Linked DNA regions of Rattus norvegicus. Each later gene encodes a partner of the first gene's protein in a complex. Links are inferred from orthologs where the notes say so. Each region holds a gene or a part of one and is shown in the gene's direction. Other genes may lie near its edges. The genes, in order: Notch1, Dll4 and Poglut1.

Region 1 (3,646 bases):
GTGTTGACACACAGGGATTTGTACACGTACAGTGTAACAGTATCAGCCTTGGGTTTCATGGATCTAAAATCTCCTAGGGTTCTACCCATTCAGATATCCCTCCAATATGAAGCCCTTGGCACTCCTGACCTGCCTGTGGTGAGGACTTTTCAAGGGCCTCGTTACTAGGGCAAGGCTATGGACACCTTTCACAGATCACAGACAGTGGCTGGCCTAGGCTAGAGTGCATGTGACGTCCCTGAATCCATGCACCCATACGTTCTCTCTCCACCACAGGGCTTCGAGGGTGCCACTTGTGAAAATGACGCCCGCACTTGTGGCAGTTTGCGCTGCCTCAACGGTGGTACGTGCATCTCAGGCCCACGCAGTCCCACCTGCCTATGCCTGGGCTCCTTCACTGGCCCTGAATGCCAGTTCCCAGCCAGCAGCCCCTGTGTGGGTAGCAACCCCTGCTACAATCAGGGCACCTGTGAGCCCACATCCGAGAGCCCTTTCTACCGCTGTCTATGCCCTGCCAAATTCAACGGGCTGCTGTGCCACATCCTGGACTACAGCTTCACAGGTGGCGCCGGGCGCGACATTCCCCCGCCACAGATTGAGGAGGCCTGCGAACTGCCTGAGTGCCAGGAGGATGCAGGCAATAAGGTCTGCAACCTTCAGTGTAATAATCACGCGTGTGGCTGGGACGGCGGCGACTGCTCCCTCAACTTCAATGACCCTTGGAAGAACTGCACTCAGTCCCTGCAGTGCTGGAAGTATTTTAGTGACGGCCACTGTGACAGCCAGTGCAACTCAGCTGGCTGCCTTTTTGATGGCTTCGACTGCCAGCTCACCGAGGGACAGTGCAAGTAAGTAAGGCTGGGTCGCTTCAGAGGCCCAGGGCCCAGGAGGCACCAAACCAAATACCAGGAACATGAAGCCACTGTCCGTCCCTTCCCCTAGGGGGGTCACCGAGCACATTTCCCAGGTCTGGCCCAGTTAGGGTGGGTTTGAGGCCCGCAGGCTGGGATGGGACTGACCTCGTCCTGTACCTCCTCAGCCCCCTGTATGACCAGTACTGCAAGGACCACTTCAGTGATGGCCACTGCGACCAGGGCTGCAACAGTGCCGAGTGTGAGTGGGATGGACTGGACTGTGCAGAGCATGTCCCCGAGCGACTGGCAGCCGGCACACTGGTGCTGGTGGTGCTGCTTCCGCCCGATCAGCTACGCAACAACTCCTTCCACTTCCTGCGGGAGCTCAGCCACGTGCTGCACACCAACGTGGTCTTCAAGCGTGACGCGCAGGGCCAGCAGATGATCTTCCCCTACTATGGCCGCGAGGAAGAGCTACGCAAGCACCCGATCAAGCGTTCTGCAGTGGGCTGGGCCACAACGTCACTGCTTCCTGGCACCAATGGTGGGCGCCAGCGCAGGGAGCTGGACCCCATGGACATCCATGGGTGAGTGAGCTCCTGCCACTGTGGGCTGGTTCCCGGTGTGTCCCTGGGTTCTCGAACCAGCTCATCCCTGGAGCTGTGACCTCACCTTACCTTAAGGTCAGAAAGCACCAGGAACGATGAGGCCATCCTTCTGCTGGATGCCCAGTGTTTGCCCGTTGTGACTGTCAGGCCCCACCGTGTACCATGTGTTGGAGACCAGGCTGATGTCCCCTGGGGCTAAGCCATCCTAGGCCAATCCTGCACCTCAGTTGTAGTGACTCATCCATACCACAGAAGAGGAGTGAGGGGTACACAAGGGCGCTCTTGCTGAGCCTTAAAGGCCGAGGAGCCTAGGGTGGCGGTGAGGAGGCAGAGATAAGAGTGTCTCCTGGAGGGGTTGGGGATTTAGCTCAGTGGTAGAGCACTTGCCTAGCAAGCGCAAGGCCCTGGGTTTGGTCCCCAGCTCCGAAAAAAAGAAAAAAGAAAAAGAAAAAAAAGAAAGAGCTGGCTCTCTGGCATCTGAGCCTGCTATTGCCTCAAGCTACCCACTAGGGAGTCACAACTGCATCCCTGCACTTCTGTGGGGCACCAGGCACTGCTCTCAAGAGGGCATTGTATGCCTAGAGGCTATCTGTTCTCTGAAGTGAGGAAAAGGGGCGCTGTGCACCTAAGGGGCAAGGCTGGACAATAGAATGAGCCCCTGCCGAGTGCTAAAAAACTGGGGCTGCAGGGAGACTGTTCCACTGCAGGACTGTTGTCTGATATGCCCTCGGGGGGTCAGGGAGATAGGTAGGGAGTCAGAGCTGTGTGCCCGCAGCACACTGGAGTGTATCTGATCTCACTGTGCTGTGTGTTCTCAGCTCCATCGTCTACCTGGAGATCGACAACCGGCAGTGTGTACAGTCATCCTCGCAATGCTTCCAGAGCGCCACCGATGTGGCTGCCTTCCTAGGTGCTCTTGCCTCCCTCGGCAGCCTCAATATCCCCTACAAGATCGAAGCCGTAAAGAGTGAGTGACCAAGGGCTGGAGGGGCGGCTCAGTGGTTAAGAGCACGGGCTGCTGTTGCAGAGGAGCTGGGTTCAAGTCCCAGCACCCATGCAGCATCTTAATAACTCTCTGTAACGCCAGTTCCAGAGCGCCCAGGACCTTCTGACCTCTGAAGGCACCAAGCGTGCACAGGGTCCTGACATACATGCAGGCCAAACACCCATGCACATTAATTTTTTTTTTTAAATAAGTGCCCTACCCCTGCCAGCCCTGCCTCTTCGGGGATGGGTTCCTTGCGTGGAGGAAAGTCTGAGAGGGTCACAAGCAGGCCATCTCTTCACTCCTTGTGCCCAGTTGTCATCCCCAGCTCAGGAAGTGCTTTTCTGGAATATTTTCCATGGCCTTTCCCCGCTGTGGATGGTGGGAACTATAAGTACAAACTGCCCCCTAAGATGAATACATGTACCAGAAAGTGTGGAGGAGCCTTTCCTCTCTCCCCATTTTCTACCCCTGATTTTTCTTTGTTGGATATTATTTCAAAATCATTACTGGGGTTTTGTGTGTGTGTGCGTGTGCGTGTGTGTGTGTGTGTGTGTGTGTGTGTGTGTGTGTGTTGTTTTTTTTTTTTTAAAGAGAGAGAGAAGAATTGATCGGTGTCATGTGAAGTGTTGAAGTTTGTATCTTGAAAATCCCCCTAAATCCTTTGTCTTAACAGCTCAATGCGAGCGCAGTGATTTGAAGTTCGCTAATCCTCCTTCTCGAAAGGGGAGAAGTGAGCACTGTCTCCAGACAGATCAGCCGGTGCAGAAGAGAATTTAGCGATAGTTTGCAATTCTGATTAATCACGTAGAAAATGACCTTATTTTGGGGGGTGGGATGGAGGAGAGTGGGTGAGGAGGCACTGGCCGTGGAGCCAGTCCGCCGCCCCCCACCAGCCCACAGCATCGCCACGCCTGACGTGGGGTGCTTGCCTGCCGCCCCTGCCCGCAGGTGAGACGGTGGAGCCTCCGCTGCCCTCACAGCTGCACCTCATGTACGTGGCGGCAGCTGCCTTCGTGCTCCTGTTCTTTGTGGGCTGTGGGGTGCTGCTGTCCCGCAAGCGCAGGCGGCAGCATGGCCAGCTCTGGTTCCCTGAGGGTTTCAAAGTGTCAGAGGCCAGCAAGAAGAAGCGGAGAGAACCCCTCGGCGAGGACTCAGTCGGCCTCAAGTGAGTGGACACTGATGCCACTGTGCGGTGG
Region 2 (3,646 bases), about 97 Mb from region 1:
TCATGGCACCTGCACCATCCCCTGGCAATGTGCCTGCGATGAGGGCTGGGGAGGTCTGTTTTGTGACCAAGGTGAGTGAGAGAAGTAGGGATGCGGTGGCAGGGCCTGAAACTAGAGATGGTGACTGAACCCCTTTCTTGGTGGTCCATAAGTGACTTTTCTATTATTGGTCAATGACAAGTCTCCAGACTGTGTGTGTGTGTGTGTGTGTGTGTGTGTGTGTGTGTCCGCGCGCGCGCGCGCGTGTGCATGCGGGGAAGGTATGAGGTATGGAACTCAGGGTGTCTCACATATTAGGCAAGCACTGTACCTGTGAGCTCTACCACAGCCCACTCATGCTTTTAAAGGCTCTTTACAATGGACCTATAAAGGGATGGTGGGACATTCTTCTCCAGGCCCTGAAGAGCGAGGGTGACTAAAGAGGCCAGGGCTAACAGCTTGGCAGCCTGCAGCTCAAACTCATAAATTCTAGCATGACTAAAAAGAAAGGGAAGCTGAGCTCTGTCCCTCTTTCTGCCTTGTAGTTACCTATTAACCCCCGAGTGTTTGCTCACCTTCCAAGGCTGTTTGAGCAGCTCTCCCCTAAACAGCTGTGTGGTGGGGTGTGCTCGATGGCCACCCTGGGCTGTGGCCAATCTGGGCCTCTAGGTAGAGGGAACATGGAACTGCCTTTTTAGTGTGGCCAAAGCCACCTGCCTTTCCCCAGTGACACTTGCCAGGCAGCTGCCCAAGCTCACATGGTCTCTACCTGATATTTGAGGGTTTCCACTCTTGGGCCCACATAGGAGTCTTTGAGCTCCAACCTTAGAGAAGGGACCTTTTCTTCTACATCCCTGTAGCCAGCTGCATCCTCCCATTTTCAGGGTCAAGCACTGTGCCTGCTGCCATGGCAACACCACATGGACCTGGAGAGGATGGGGAGTGGGTTTGCCAAGCTGGAAAAAGCTTGCCTAGGTCCTGACTTGTTGCCAGCATGGAATTCAGTCCATTCAGCCCTTATATGTTTTTTATGTTCTCTCTCTTTCTCCCTCCCTCCCTCCTTCCCTCCCTCCCTCCCTCCCTCCCTTCCTCTCCTCTCCTCTCCCTCTCCTCTCTCTCTCTCTCTCTCTCTCTCTCTCTCTCCCCCCCCACCCCCGACACACAGAACTTCCCTCCTTTTTCTGCTACACACACACACACACACACACACACACACACACACCTCTTTCCCTTTCTGTCATCCACATTTGCTCCCAGGTGACACAACCATATACTCATTGTCCGCAAACATAACCCTTACAGTCCCTCTGTTTGCTTTGTCTGGCTCTCCCTCTTTGTTTTTCTCCAACAAGAAAACAAACAGCTATCATTCAAAATACACTTTTTTTTTTTTTGGTTCTTTTTTTTGGAGCTGGGGACCGAACCCAGGGCCTTGCGCTTCCTAGGTAAGCGCTCTACCACTGAGCTAAATCCTCAGCCCCCAAAATACACTTTTAACACCTCCTTTAGAAGATGCCTGGTACTGCCTATGGTGGCTCTCATCCCTGCCCCCCTACTCTGTTCACTTGTTGGATTTTAATTCCTCCTTCTAGTCCTTCCAGGCCTGCACCTCCTCTGTAAAGCCTTTCCCGACTTCCTCATTGGCTAGGGGCCTCCTCTTGATCCTGCTCTGACTGGAAGTGTTTGTGAGCATACCTAGCAGGACGCTGACCAATTGTGCTTTGTTTCCAACATTTGTTATATGTATTCAGTCTATATGTAGTTTCAGATGATTTAACACTCAGGATTTCACTAGCAGAGAGTGGAGGGATGCTTGGGCCTTAAACTTTTGAGTTTAAGCTTCTTTGGGCCAAATACAGGGTGGCCTTGCATGGAGGTGGGAAGAGTTCCTGGTCCCACTCAGCTGGTTCCTTCCTGTCTCCACAGATCTTTTTTTTTTTTTTTTCTTTTCTTTTTTTTGGAGTTGGGGACCGAACCCAGGGCCTTGTGCTTGCTAGGCAAGCGCTCTACCACTGAGCTAAATCCCCAACCCCTGTCTCCACAGATCTTAATTACTGCACTCACCACTCTCCGTGCAAGAATGGATCAACTTGCTCCAACAGTGGGCCGAGGGGCTATACCTGCACCTGTCTCCCAGGCTACACTGGTGAGCACTGTGAGCTGGAACTCAGCAAGTGTGCCAGCAACCCCTGTCGAAATGGTGGCAGCTGTAAGGTGAGACCCACATCAGCCCAGTAAGGCACAGGTCTAACCAGGTAGCATCTAGGCAGTCATTGCTTATGCATGCATGGATGGGCACTCTGGACAAGCAGAGGCTAGGCACCAACCTCGTTTATCCTTGTCCTCTCCCCAGGGTCTAACTTTAGCCTGTTTATGTTCTTTCTCCAGGACCATGAGAATAGCTACCACTGCCTGTGTCCCCCGGGCTACTATGGCCAGCACTGTGAACACAGTACCTTGACCTGTGCGGATTCACCCTGCTTCAATGGAGGCTCCTGCCGGGAGCGCAACCAGGGGGCCAGTTATGCCTGCGAGTGTCCCCCTAACTTCACTGGGTCCAACTGTGAGAAGAAAGTTGACAGGTGTACCAGCAACCCCTGTGCCAATGGTAAGCCCTTTCTCTCACCTTACTATCCTGATGAACTGGCCCCAGGGTCAGAGAGCCTGAGAGAATCAGGAGGAGAGAGACCTGTCTGCTGCTCTGGGAAGACTGACTGAAATGGGCTCCTCTGTGCTTTGGAGTGTGAAGAGCTTTATGCATTAAGCAGGGTAGGGCTTTAGAGAAGGAGGTCAGCAATGGGTCATAGGTGAGGGTTAGTGTCCATCCGCCTGATTTCTATTCTTATTTCCATGGATGAGCCTTGACCTGATGAGGCTAGCTTGTGACCTTCTTGAGCAAGCCTTGAATTAGAAAGAAGGATGTTGAAGGCTTCACATCCCTTCTCAAGGAAGGCCAGTGATGGTTAGAGCTCTGTACCTTGAGGCCTCATCTTCCCTCACACTCCCCTAGAATAAGTGTAGCACAAAGAATCTGGAATACCCAGAGCTTTTTGATAAGTTAACAGAACACGTTGGTAATCTTTGTACACTTAGTCAGCAGGTGATGGTCTATGAGACAGGCAGGCAGCCACTCAGGAGCCAGCAAGGGGCTGGGAGTGGCAACACAATCTGTTCTCACTCAACTCCCTTGAGCCACAGTTTCATCATTCCTGAATGGGAAAATGAAACTAAGTGTCTTTGGTGCGAAGATTAAGTTAAATTGTAATTGCACCTGCGGGATAGTGAGCGCTTCCTGTGTGTGGTTCTACCTTGTGTCTTTCCCTACCTGATCCTCAGAGCTGCCTGTGAAAGGATCAAATTCTCCAGTTTAGCAGGTGAGGAAACCAAGGCTAAGGGATCAGGTAAAGCTACAGGTGTCGGATCCCCGGCTAGAGAGATCAGGCCAAGCATATCTGTCTTACCCTAAATTCTTAAGATGCCAGTAACTATTATCCAATAGCCTACGGAAGCATGGAGAGCAAAAATCACGGCAATCTCCAGGGCTTTGGAGCCTTTGCACAGTTCTCTTTGTAGAGAGCTCTATGTTCATGCAGGCTGAACACATGGAGGTAGAAGAACTCATGGATGAGGCCTCATTCCCTTCACCGGGGAATTCACAGGCTATTGC
Region 3 (3,646 bases), on another chromosome or scaffold:
TTTCAGTCAGTTATGGGGACAGAGTGTTCTGCTTTCGGGCGTGTAGTTTTCCTCTCTACAGGTCTTCAGCTGTTCCTGTGGGCCTGTGTCTTGAGTTCACCAGGCAGCTTTCTTGCAGCAGAAAGGGTGGTCTTACCTGTGGTCCCGAGGCTCAAGTTCGCTCGCGGGGTGCTGCCCACGGGCTCTCTGTGGCGGCAGCAACCAGGAATACCTGCACCGCCCCTTCCGGGAGCTTCAGTGCACCAGGGTTCCAGATGGCCTTTGGTGTTTTCCTCTGGCGTCCGAGATGTGTGTGCAGAGAGCAGTCTCTTCTGGTTTCCCAGGCTTGTCTGCCTCTCTGAAGGTTCAGCTCTCCCTCCCACGGGATTTGGGTGCAGAGAACTGTTTATCCGGTCTGTTTCCTTCTGGTTCTGGTGGTGTCTCACGCACAGGGGTCCTGCCGCTCCTGGGCCCTCCCCCACGGGAGCCCAGAGGCCTTATACAGTTTCCTCTTGGGCCAGGGATGTGGGCAGGGGTGGGCAGTGTTGGTGGTCTCTTCCGCTCTGCAGCCTTAGGAGTGCCCACCTGACCAGGCGGTGAGGTCTCTTTCCCACAGGGTCTGGGAGCAGAGAGCTGCTGCGGGCCGGGATCCGCGGGTGTGGGTTTTTTCTTTTTTTTTCTTCTTCTTTTTCTTTTTCTTTTTTCTTTTTTTCGGAGCTGGGGACCGAACCCAGGGCCTCGCGCTTGCTAGGCAAGCGCTCTACCACTGAGCTAAATCCCCAACCCCCCGGCTTGTTTTTCAAATTGCAGTGTTATACTGGACTCTACAATGCATTCACAGCGAAGGCTATTCTGGTAGGCAGCAATCATGTAGCCACACAGCTGTGAACAGCAGTGATCGTAGGCATTGGATGAACCTTCCAAAAAGGAAAACCATTCCCTGAAATAGATATATAGTGACCAGAACATCATTGTCTTAGTTAGGGACACTATTGCTGTGATGAAAAACCATTACCAAAAGCAACTTGGGGAGGAAAAAGTTAATTTCACTCACAGTTCCATATAACAAACAGTTCATCATCAAAAGCCATGAAGGCAGGAACTCACACAGGGCAGGAACCTGTAGGCAGGGGATGATGCAGAGACCATGGAAGGATGTTACTTAACTGGCTTGCTCCTACTGCCTTGCTCAGCCTGCTCCCTTATAGAACTCAGAACCATCATCTCAGCCAGTGGCAGGACCACCCACAATGGGCTGTGCCCTCCCCCATTGATCACTAAAGAAATGTCTTAAGCTAGATCTTATGGAGGCATTTTTCTTAACTAAGGCTCCCTCCACTCCAATGACTCTTGCTTTTAACAGGCAGACATAAAACTAGCCAGTACAATCATACTCTTTAAGATCAGATGCCACCCAGAGGTGGTAGCTTCCACTTAGAATAGCAGTGATTGAGAGTTCACTAATCAGGGTCAGGAATTCAAGGCCACATTTGGCTGTATAGTGAGCTTGAAGGTAGCATGGTGTCTCAGAGTTTTACTGCTGTGAGCAGACACCATGACCAAGGCAACTCTTATAAGGCCAACATTTAATCGGGGCTGGCTTACCGGTTCAGTCCATTATCATCAAGGCGGGAGCATGGCAGCATCCAGGCAGCCATGGTGCAGGAGGAGCTGAGAGCTCTATATCTTCATCTGAGGGCCATTAGGAGAAGGCTGCCCCTCACATGGTTAGGAGGAAGGTCTCATTGCCCACCCCTACAGTGACACACTTCCAACAAGGCCACACCTCCTGATGGTGCTACACTCCCTGGGCCAAGCATATCCAAATGACCACAAATGGGCTATAGGAGATTCTGTTTTAAAACAAACAGTAAACCTAGATGTAAGCAAAGGAAGACTTGACGCTCCCCGTCTTTGATGGGTAAAGCGGGGATAGCCTGAGCAACCAAGATGCTGCACTGGACCCTCTTCCTTCACTGTCCCAGACTCAGTGACTACCTGCCCATCTGTGCCAGTAGCCACCGTGCTGGCCAAGGGCTGCTCAGGGATTGGGAACATTACGGTGTAGGCCACATAGATTTATGTTCTGTATTTTCTCTGTAGGACAAGCCCTGAAAGAGATCCTCTCATTCTTCTCTCTCGGAAAAATCCAAAACTCGTTGATGCAGAATACACCAAAAACCAGGCCTGGAAGTCTATGAAAGTAATCAGCTACCGTCTGAATCGAACCGCGGCAGCGCTGACTCTAAGAACGTTGCCCTCTGGGTAGCGTTTGAGATTAGGTTTCCTCTCGGTGGTGAGATGAGTGCAGAGCAGGCCCCGTGCAGTGGTGCTAGCGTTCGTGTAAACCGCCGTCTCCGGGCCTTGCCCGCTGTGCTAAGTGTCAGTAACCCTAAAGAGCTGAGTTTATAAGTCTTTCCTGGGAGCGGCCAGATCTAACTGTGGGGCTACCCAGGGCCTTACCGCCTGGCCTGCTGTGGCAGCGAGGGAGCAGTGGAGCAGCTCCAGTGCGACTATTCTAGCTATTATTTATAGCCACCAAAATTTGAATTTTGTGTGAAATGGGAATTCCATGTGAAATTTGAATTTTATGTCATTTTTTCTTTCTACTTTCTTTTTCTTCTTGTTTGTTTTTAATTATGAGACGGTGTTATAATGTAGTTCTGGCTGTCCTGGAACTCACTATGCAGAACTGGCCTCGAACTCACAGAGATCCATCTCCCTCTTCTGAGTTCTGGGATTAAAGTCATGTGCCACCACACCTGCATTTCATGTAATTTTCACATATCAAAAATATTTTCTTTCCCTTTTTTTAATTCCAGTCACTTGAAAATGAAAATATCTAGTCCACGAGTTTTATACCACTATGTGGTGCTGTGGGCACCTGACTTAAATGAATGGTTCTCAATGGCCGTAGAGAGCTTAAACAGTGAGCTAAATCTGGGGCCCAGGTTGCAGGAATCCTCATCTCACTAAAATCTGAAAAATGCGGCCTTTAGCTTTGAAGTCCATCTGTCCTGACTGTGACTTCTTGCCTTAAGAAAGAACTTAAAGTCCTAATTTCCTCGTTTGCAATGTCAACAGAGCATATAAGAAGAAAGCTTTAAGATTCATGGAGGGAAACCTCAGTGTATATCTGCAAAGGATGCATTTTTTACATTAGTCTCATTTGTACTTTTTTGTTGTGTTGCTGTACTGGGGTTTGAACCCTTGCCTTAGAATGCTAGACAGACACTGTATCCTATAGCTATACACCATTAGCCCATGACTGTTTAATTTAGAAGTTTTATTTTGTGTATGAGTGTTTTGCCTGCAAGTATGGATGTGCACATATGGATATGTGCCTGGTGACTGCTGGAGTTGTGGACATTTGTAAGCTGCCAGGAGGAAGCTTGGACCTGAGCCCAGCTCCTCTGTAAGAGCAGCAAGAACTCTTAACTACTGAGCCATCTCTCCAGCCTCGTCCTTAGCCTGCCTTACACAGTTTTAATCAAGCAGGAGCAGATGACAAAAGAAACAAAAAAGAAACAAAAAAATGCATAGGAATTCAAGGGCATCCTCAGTTACTGACTTTGAGCCTAACCTGGGCTACGAAACCCTGTGTGAAAAACGAGACAGAGAAAGGACAGCAAAAACAAAGAAATGAAAGAGTGCATTAATTCAGTGC

Evidence for each region.
Region 2: the proteins of Notch1 (region 1) and Dll4 are in contact, whole or in part, in a crystal structure (PDB 4XLW), measured with the Rattus norvegicus proteins. Residues at the interface, in NP_001099191.1 of Rattus norvegicus: Glu415, Leu418, Ala420, Asn421, Pro422, Glu424, His425, Phe436, Pro447, Arg448, Glu450, Ile451, Asp452, Leu468, Asp469, Gln470, Ile471, Ile477; in XP_006234827.1 of Rattus norvegicus: His65, Thr76, Phe77, Asn109, Phe110, Thr111, Pro113, Tyr180, Ser186, Arg187, Leu188, Lys190, Arg192, His195, Phe196, Tyr199, Lys216, Tyr217, Asp219.
Region 3: the proteins of Notch1 (region 1) and Poglut1 are in contact, whole or in part, in a crystal structure (PDB 5UB5), measured with the Homo sapiens proteins. The link is inferred for Rattus norvegicus from reciprocal best matches to the Homo sapiens genes NOTCH1 and POGLUT1. Residues at the interface, in NP_060087.3 of Homo sapiens: Asn454, Glu455, Cys456, Val457, Asn459, Pro460, Cys461, Gln462, Asn463, Asp464, Ala465, Cys467, Gly472, Glu473, Phe474, Val485, His486; in NP_689518.1 of Homo sapiens: Met103, Phe104, Pro105, Ser106, Arg107, Asp133, Gly170, Pro171, Ala172, Val173, Trp174, Pro178, Thr179, Gly180, Thr214, Asn239, Gln240, Ala241, Val274.

Annotation. Positions count from the first base shown.
Region 1 is NC_086021.1:29,683,521-29,687,166, reverse strand, and holds part of Notch1 (neurogenic locus notch homolog protein 1 precursor), read left to right. Parts: intron 1-276; coding exon 277-848; intron 849-1,039; coding exon 1,040-1,441; intron 1,442-2,280; coding exon 2,281-2,429; intron 2,430-3,398; coding exon 3,399-3,615; intron 3,616-3,646. UniProt on the Homo sapiens protein: Functions as a receptor for membrane-bound ligands Jagged-1 (JAG1), Jagged-2 (JAG2) and Delta-1 (DLL1) to regulate cell-fate determination.
Region 2 is NC_086021.1:126,773,831-126,777,476, forward strand, and holds part of Dll4 (delta-like protein 4 precursor), read left to right. Parts: coding exon 1-71; intron 72-2,023; coding exon 2,024-2,193; intron 2,194-2,367; coding exon 2,368-2,587; intron 2,588-3,646. UniProt on the Homo sapiens protein: Involved in the Notch signaling pathway as Notch ligand. Activates NOTCH1 and NOTCH4. Involved in angiogenesis; negatively regulates endothelial cell proliferation and migration and angiogenic sprouting. Essential for retinal progenitor proliferation.
Region 3 is NC_086029.1:75,721,074-75,724,719, forward strand, and holds part of Poglut1 (protein O-glucosyltransferase 1 precursor), read left to right. Parts: intron 1-2,082; coding exon 2,083-2,182; intron 2,183-3,646. UniProt on the Homo sapiens protein: Dual specificity glycosyltransferase that catalyzes the transfer of glucose and xylose from UDP-glucose and UDP-xylose, respectively, to a serine residue found in the consensus sequence of C-X-S-X-P-C.